Macaca mulatta: one gene and its partner. The protein of the gene in region 2 purifies or fractionates together with the protein of the main gene of each other region. This does not show direct contact. Links are inferred from orthologs where the notes say so. Each region holds a gene or a part of one and is shown on either strand. Other genes may lie near its edges.

What was found.
Region 1: the proteins of TLE1 (region 2) and HES1 purify together in Homo sapiens (affinity purification with western blotting; 4 studies listed by BioGRID and IntAct, with this or other methods). This does not show direct contact. The link is inferred for Macaca mulatta from reciprocal best matches to the Homo sapiens genes TLE1 and HES1.

What each region holds. Positions count from the first base shown.
Region 1 is NC_133407.1:4,621,427-4,625,871, reverse strand, and holds HES1 (transcription factor HES-1), read left to right. Parts: upstream 1-1,622; 5' UTR 1,623-1,853; coding exon 1,854-1,961; intron 1,962-2,096; coding exon 2,097-2,192; intron 2,193-2,442; coding exon 2,443-2,530; intron 2,531-3,163; coding exon 3,164-3,714; 3' UTR 3,715-4,084; downstream 4,085-4,445. Other genes in the region: uncharacterized protein LOC144339429, read right to left, coding at 1-644, 753-801. UniProt on the Homo sapiens protein: Transcriptional repressor of genes that require a bHLH protein for their transcription. May act as a negative regulator of myogenesis by inhibiting the functions of MYOD1 and ASH1.
Region 2 is NC_133420.1:112,565,599-112,569,405, forward strand, and holds part of TLE1 (transducin-like enhancer protein 1), read right to left. Parts: intron 1,141-3,807; coding exon 891-1,140; intron 1-890. UniProt on the Homo sapiens protein: Transcriptional corepressor that binds to a number of transcription factors. Inhibits NF-kappa-B-regulated gene expression. Inhibits the transcriptional activation mediated by FOXA2, and by CTNNB1 and TCF family members in Wnt signaling.

The DNA of each region.
Region 1 (4,445 bases), on a different chromosome or scaffold from region 2:
CGCCCAGGGCCCCGCGTGGGGGAGGGCGGGGGCGAGGAGCAAACTCGGAGGCCCCCACCTCGCCCCCGGGCTGTTGCAAATGCGGCTTTCAGCCGAGTGAAAACCCCAAGCCCGAAAGTGAGGGTGGGGCGGGGTGGGGGGGAAGAATCCCCACTCTCCAACCCGGGTGTGCGCTCCCCGCCCGGAAGAGCTGACCTTGGCCTGGGGAGGCGGGGGTGGGGAGAGAGGGTAAGCGCCGGGGCTCGGCTCCCAGCCCGCCGCCCCTTCGGATTCCTGGCCCGGCGGGGCCGGAGGAGGGGGCCCCGGACACACACACACACCCCACACGCAGCGCGCGCCAATGAGCCCGGGCCAGGCGCAGGGGGCGGAGTTTTCCCAGGCTCGAGCACAGCAGCTGCTATTTACCTTCTTGGCTTCTCCCGGGGACCAGGAACCGGCCCCCGCTCTCCGCCGCCCGCCGCCGCCCCCCGCCTCCCTGCCCCCGGGGCGCGCGCACACACACTCACTCACACACGCACGCACACACACATCCTCCCGGCCCGGCCGCAGCCGCGGCGGCAATAAAACATCCTGGCACGTGCTCCGGCTCCAGGCGCGCCCACGCCGGCCGGCTGATGTCAAACTGCAGCTCGGCTGGTGTAGCTCTTAAAGGGCCCGCGCGCGCCGGGGGCCGAGGCCGCCCGCGGGGCGAGGAGGGAGAGGCTCTGCTTCCTGGCCCTCCACCTCAACGCGCCGCAGAACCTGAAGCCTACGGATGAAAAGGGAAAGGGTGGTGAAGGCGGGCGCGAGTCCCTGAGGCATTGCCCTCAGAGCCCCCCTTGTTCATTTTTTCATTTGAAATACCATTTCCTTCCACCCAGTTGGAAATTATTCTGATTGTTTCCTGGGGAAGCGCGGGGTCTAAGGCCCCAAATCCAGAAGAGGAATTTCTGAAAGACGGGGTGGGGGTAGGGGGGGTAAGGGATTCAAGAACTACCTTACTCCGAAAAACCTGCGTTTGTAAGGTAGAAGCCAATTTTTCCTTTTAATGCATGGAAAAAGGAAAAAAAAATGGCCCTTTTCCTGCATGATCTACTTTCACCCTCATGAATGTGTAAAGTCTGAGCGGGAACTTAAGATATGTCGGTAACTCACACCTTTACACGAGTCCCGTCCCCCCCCCCCGCCCCCTTTTAACCACTGCTAATGTTTTTCTCTGTCCCTTTATACCTTTAAAAAATGTGTTTCAAATGAACTTATTACAGTCAAAGCAGCTCTGTTACATATGAGAGAGGGCATAAAGGGTAAAGACCCTGGCTCCAAAAGAAAGGGACAAGACCAAAACCAAAGCGGAAAGAAAAAAAAGATCACCTCTAAACCAAAGCCCAGAGGGAGAGTAGCAAAGGGTTAAAATCCTTTTGATTGACGTTGTAGCCTCCGGTGCCCTGGGCTCAGGCGCGCGCCATTGGCCGCCAGACCTTGTGCCTGGCGGCCAATGGGGGGGCGCGGTCCACGAGCGGTGCCGCGTGTCTCCTCCTCCCATTGGCTGAAAGTTACTGTGGGAAAGAAAGTTTGGGAAGTTTCACACGAGCCGTTCGCGTGCAGTCCCAGATATATATAGAAGCCGCCAGGGCCTGGGGATCACACAGGATCCGGAGCTGGTGCTGATAACAGTGGAATCCCCCGTCTACCTCTCTCCTTGGTCCTGGAACAGCGCTACTGATCACCAAGTAGCCACAAAATATAATAATAAACCCTCAGCACTTGCTCAGTAGTTTTGTGAAAGTCTCAAGTAAAAGAGACACAAAGAATTCTTTTTCTTGAAGAACTCCAAAAATAAAATTCTCTAGAGATTAAAAAAAAAAAAAAGGAAAATGCCAGCTGATATAATGGAGAAAAATTCCTCGTCCCCGGTGGCTGCTACCCCAGCCAGTGTCAACACGACACCGGATAAACCAAAGACAGCATCTGAGCACAGAAAGGTAAGGGCGGTACCTGTATCTCTCTGCAGCCCCTCAAGATTAAGTAGGGGTTGGGGGGGCTTCTTTCTGTGTTGAAACCCCGGGATGAAATGGCAGATCCCATGGGAACACAGAACTCTTTTTATTTATTTGCAGTCATCAAAGCCTATCATGGAGAAAAGACGAAGAGCAAGAATAAATGAAAGTCTGAGCCAGCTGAAAACACTGATTTTGGATGCTCTTAAGAAAGATGTAAGTGGGGAAATGTTGTTGCTCTTTCTTTTACTGAGAAAGCAAACACTTTCTCAGCTACTAAGAGTGAAACCCCCCGCCTGCGGGGTCTAGCACTCGCCGGTACTGCGTTCTCCTAGGCGGGAGGGCCCGGCCTTATTCTCTGGGGTCCAGAGATATGCTTGCGCTCCGTGGCCGGGAGAAGGGACCCCCAGCACTCTGAAGCAACTGACACGGGGTTCACTTTCTTTTCTTGCCTCCTCCTATGCAGAGCTCGCGGCATTCCAAGCTGGAGAAGGCGGACATTCTGGAAATGACAGTGAAGCACCTCCGGAACCTGCAGCGGGCGCAGATGACGGGTGAGGGCGGCTCGCCGCGTCCCCCTGTGCGGGCGTCCCGCTCGCCTCGCGGTGATTTCTTCCAGACTTCCGCCCGTGGTTGTGAGAGGCATTCAGCTACATTTTACTGCCTTGGCTCACTCTCGCGTTCCCACGGTCTGGGGCTTATTTATAGCCACAACTCCAAGTTGTTACTGTTCCGGAAAGGGAGGGAAAGAGGTTGCAGCCGCGAGGGTGGCGGGCGGCGGGTAGGGGCGAAAGGACTTAGGACTGTGGCGGTTTGGAACTGCGTGGAGCCTGGGGGTCACTGGTTTAGCACTCCCTCCCGTTGCAGAAGGGGAAACGAGGCTTGGATGATGGATTGGGAGGCATTGTCCAAGGTCACATCGCGCGCGGGGGTGGGGGTGACAGATCTGTGGCTGAGATAGGTTTAAATGCAGCGACAGGGAATCGGGAAGGAGTGGCTCGGCTTTGGCAGCCACGCTAGTGTGTAGAGGTGGCTTTTTTTTTTTAAACCCATCCCACCCTCCCCGCCGGAGGCAGTTTTACGGGCCCATGGTCAGGGAGGCGCGCCACTGGGACCTCCCAGGGCGGAGGCAGTGGCCACGGGGCCAGGGCCGTTCGGTGACCCGTCTGTCTCCTTCTGGCCCGCAGCTGCGCTGAGCACAGACCCAAGCGTGCTGGGGAAGTACCGCGCTGGCTTCAGCGAGTGCATGAACGAGGTGACCCGCTTCCTGTCCACGTGCGAGGGCGTTAATACCGAGGTGCGCACTCGGCTGCTCGGCCACCTGGCCAACTGCATGACCCAGATCAATGCCATGACCTACCCCGGGCAGCCGCACCCCGCCTTGCAGGCGCCGCCGCCGCCCCCACCAGGACCCGGCGGCCCCCAGCACGCGCCGTTCGCGCCGCCGCCGCCGCTCGTGCCCATCCCCGGGGGCGCGGCGCCCCCTCCCGGCGGCGCACCCTGCAAGCTGGGCAGCCAGGCTGGAGAGGCAGCTAAGGTGTTTGGAGGCTTCCAGGTGGTACCGGCTCCCGATGGCCAGTTTGCTTTCCTCATTCCCAACGGGGCCTTCGCGCACAGCGGCCCTGTCATCCCGGTCTACACCAGCAACAGCGGCACCTCCGTGGGCCCCAACGCAGTGTCACCTTCCAGCGGCCCCTCGCTTACGGCGGACTCCATGTGGAGGCCGTGGCGGAACTGAGGGGGCTCAGGCCACCCCTCCTCCTAAACTCCCCAACCGACCTCTCTTCCCTCTGGACTGTAAACAGGAACTTGAATACTGGGAGAGAAAAGGACTTTTTTGATTAAGTGGTTACTTTGTGTTTTTTTAATTTCTAAAAAGTTACTTTTTGTAGAGAGAGCTGTATTAAGTGACTGACCATGCACTATATTTGTATATATTTTATATGTTCATATTGGATTGCGCCTTTGTATAAAAGCTCAGATGACATTTCGTTTTTTACACGAGATTTCTTTTTATGTGATGCCAAAGATGTTTGAAAATGCTCTTAAAATATCTTCCTTTGGGGAAGTTTATTTGAGAAAATATAATAAAAGAAAAAAGTAAAGGCTTTTATGTCTTAGAACTGACTCTTCCAGGATATGTAAAAAGGCTCTTAGTGGAATTTGAATTACATGTAATTAGTCAATTCAAGAATTGACTCTTTTGTTATTAAAAGAACATTTTTAAAAATCCATCAAACCTTTCACCAATCCTCCGTGAACTAAAAAGACTAAATTCCATTTACTTTACAAGCAGCCATCTGGTAAGGCTTCCCTGATAAACTTGTGGTCAGTCTCTTAAAGGATTTCCAAAAACTTGTTTTTAAGTTGCAGTCGGGTAAGTCTGCAGCCCTTGTTCTTCTATCGCCTCCTGAGAAAGACTGAACAGGACTAAATTCACGAAGTCAGTGGATCCAATCCTATTGCCCA
Region 2 (3,807 bases):
GGAACTCTGGGAATGCATTCTCACCGCTCTATTTTGTTGATGGCTGCCCCCGGTCTTTGCAGTGACAGCCTTTAACCCTTTCCTGAAGTGAAGGTCATAAAACCTAACCAGCTCTCTCAGGTCTCCCTTAAAAACACAAACCTTACCCTGTTCAGAATGGTTTTTATGACATGTCATCAAATATTTACCATTCGGCCGGGCGCGGTGGCTCATGCCTGTAATCCCAGCACTTTAGGAGGCCGAGCGGGCGGATCACGAGGTCAGGAGATCGAGACCATCCTGGCTAACACGGTGAAACCCCGTCTCTACTAAAAAATACAAAAAATTAGCCGGGCGAGGCGGCGGGCGCCTGTAGTCCCAGCTACTCGGGAGGCTGAGGCAGGAGAATGGCGTGAACCCGGGAGGCGGAGCTTGCAGTGAGCTGAGATCCGGCCACTGCACTCCAGCCTGGGCGATAGAAAGAGACTCCGTCTCAAAAAAAAAAAAAAAAAAAAAAAAAATTTACTATTCTATATTTATCTAAAGGCTATAGGGAAATTAAAAACTGAGTGGATGGCAGGGACCAGAGTCCAGGCCAAGTTGTGCTTTTGTCCATTAAATGGGAAACCCCCTTTTGTAATGTACATCCATACACAAGGAGAGCCTCTGTAAACCAGTGTAAAATATTTTATAAAAAGAAATCCATCAACTCTGGGATTTAGCCAGTGCAACAGCAACAAATGAAACCTTCGCATTTAAACGGGGGGCCGAGGGGGTTAAATACCCAACACAGGAAACAGAAGGGGCTTCTATTTCCTCATAATGGGAATAAAACCCAGGCCCACACAGCTATTTCCTTATTGAATCTCCAGGGAGAAATTGCCCTTGTGCACCAGTTCCTGTCCACTCACCAGACAGTCGAGCTGGGAGACAGGACTCTTATTGCCAGGGTGGCTGATGTCCCAGACCTTGACGCAGCCCTTCCCGCCTGTGTACACGTGTCTCGTGGGGTTGCTGATGGTCACCGCGCACACCACCTCCCCGTGGTTGAGGGTGTTGATCTGGCGAGCATGCCGGGGGATTCCGGGTCCGATGAGGGCGTCGGGGGGAAAAGGGACAGGCTGCATCTGACCGTCTGCGGTAACGTGGAAGGAGTACGCACTTTTGGAAAAACGAATGGAGAGAAGACAGAAAACACAATGACAGAGGAAGCAGTCATTACCTCGGCAACATGCTACGACTACGAAAACGATGAAAAAAAGGAAAGATTCTCTTGTATATTTTCCTTTCAAAACAATACAAGTTGAAGTATTTACTGATGGTGCAAATTTAAAATAATTAATAGCAGAAATCTAGCGTGTACCAAATGACATATACATAGAACTGTATTTAAAATTTTTTTAAGGTATTTAAATCGTTCTTATCCATTCTATAAAGCATTCCCTCAAATCTCCTTATAAAACACTTAACGCGCTTCCAAATGAACATAAAATACCTCCTTCCATGTATCTTGTGTAATTTTATGATTTCTTAGTATAATTTTAAATGATTATTTTCCCTGCTAAAGATGAAGCCCTTAAGAACTAATAATAATTAAACAGAGTAGATAGTGTATTTTAATAGCAAAAACAACCCCCCCCACCCCAAAAAACAGCTTTCTAAAAATACCAGTTTATGGTTTGGACTTCAACTTTCTTTTGCTTAAGGAAGAGAAAATAAGAGATTATCTTATATGGCTTTAAACAGGATTTTAGGTTTCCTACTCAACAATCTTCCTTGCCTATGTTGGTCAGGAACGCCATTATATAAGGCAGCAAAGTGCCCAGCTAAAAAAACTACTCTTCCCCACTCTCCTTTAGCCCAGCGTGCCTCTGTTCTGACCAATAAGGTCTAAGAAGAAGCTGCTGGATGGCATTGAGGAAGTTCTGAACTTGAAAGAGAGGAGAGGGATGGGGAATATGGGAACTCTTCTGTAACTTTCCACTCTATTTTGCCTGGAACCCATAACTGCTCTAAAAAAATAAATAGGAAGGGAGCATACCTGCCCTCTTCTCTTCTTCCTTCCCACTGCCTGAGCTAAGAGGGATGACTGGTGCTCCTATGGCCCAGAGGTTGATTTCAAAGACAGAAATCAATTGCTGGATAGCAAAGATGTGGAACCAACCCAAATGCCCATCAATGATAGACTGGATAAAGAAAATGTTACACATATACACCATGGAATACTATACAGCCATAAAAAAAAAAAAAAGGATGAGTTCATGTCCTTTGCAGGGACATGGATGAAACTAGAAACCATCATTCTCAGCAAACTAACATAGGAACAGAAGACCAAACACCGTATGTTCTCACTCATAAGTGGGAGTTGAACAATGAGAACACATGGACACAGGGAGGGGAATATCACACACTGGGGCCTGTCAGGAGGTCGGGGGCTAGGGGAAGGATAGCATTAGGAGAAATACCTAACGTAGGTGATGGGTTGATGGGTGCAGCAAACCACCATGGCAGGTGTATACCTATGTAACAAACTTGCACATTCTGCACATGTATCCCAGAACAGGGAAGGGAAGGGAAGGGAAGGGGAGGGGAGGGGAGGGGAGGGGAGGGGAGGGGAGGGGAGGGGAGGGGAGGGGAGGGGAGGGGAGGGAAGGGAAGGGAAGGGATTGCTGGGGGAGACAGAACAGAAAGACAGGATGCAGAGGCCCTGGTGACACTATGGGGCTGTCATACCTGCCCTGAGCCGCTGAGAGCCAGTGTCTTTTATGTGAGAGAGTAATAAACTTCCACATTATTTAAGCTACCATTTTCTTCCCCTGTTAAATACAAACAAACCTAATCCTGATTACCCACTTCTACTTCTACACCAAAATTCAAAGCATATTTTTTCCTCCAATGAATTTAATTTAAACTCCAAGAGCTAAGATCCTAGGGACATGATAAAACATAAACAAAGAAAAGACACTTTAGAGGATAGAAGAAAGAGAAGTGCTAATGTTTTCACTCTATGTCAACTGATAAACTGATGCACATTCGGCTGGGCGCGGCGGCTCACGCCTGTAATCCCAGCACTTTGGGAGGCAGAGGGGGGGCGGATCACAAGGTCAGGAGTTCAAGACCAGCCTGACCAACATGGTGAAATCCCGTCTCTACTAAAAATACAAAAAATAGCTGGGCGTGGTGGCACATGCCTGTAATCCCAGCTACTTGGGAGGCTGAGGCAGGAGAATCACTTGAACCTGGGAAATGGAGGTTGCAGTGAGCCAAGATCACGCCACTGCACTCCACCCTGGGAGACAAGAGCAAGACTCTGTCTAAAAAAAAAAACAAGTATGCACATTCTACTTTGAAGACCACTATTTCCACTTTCTTAACTTGAAATCACTAGAAGCGCTAAAAGTTCAAACCATCAACAATAAGTGAAGTAGGCACTGCTTCCTCCTGCCAATAACCCTTGAAAACGTGTGCCTTTCTGAAGCCTGTCATTGGCAGCTTTGTACACAATGTAAACACCATGAGTCCTAACACAGTGCTTAAATTTTCATTTTAATACAAACTCAAATTTTGTAAAGTAACTTAGCAAGCACAAAACTGAAAACGATTATGCCAGGTCTCTACCACCCTGCACTTAAAACCCACATACATTTGTTTGAAAATAAAATGCATGCTATTATCTTCCCTCCATAAAAGCAAAACATCAAACCCATGAAGACTTTTAAACTTCCCCCCCACTCAACCACAGGACACAATCTCAATCTGTTACCTGCTGGCAAATTGGTACCAGTAACTAATAGTAAAATAGCTATTTGGCCCAAATCCTTAATGTTA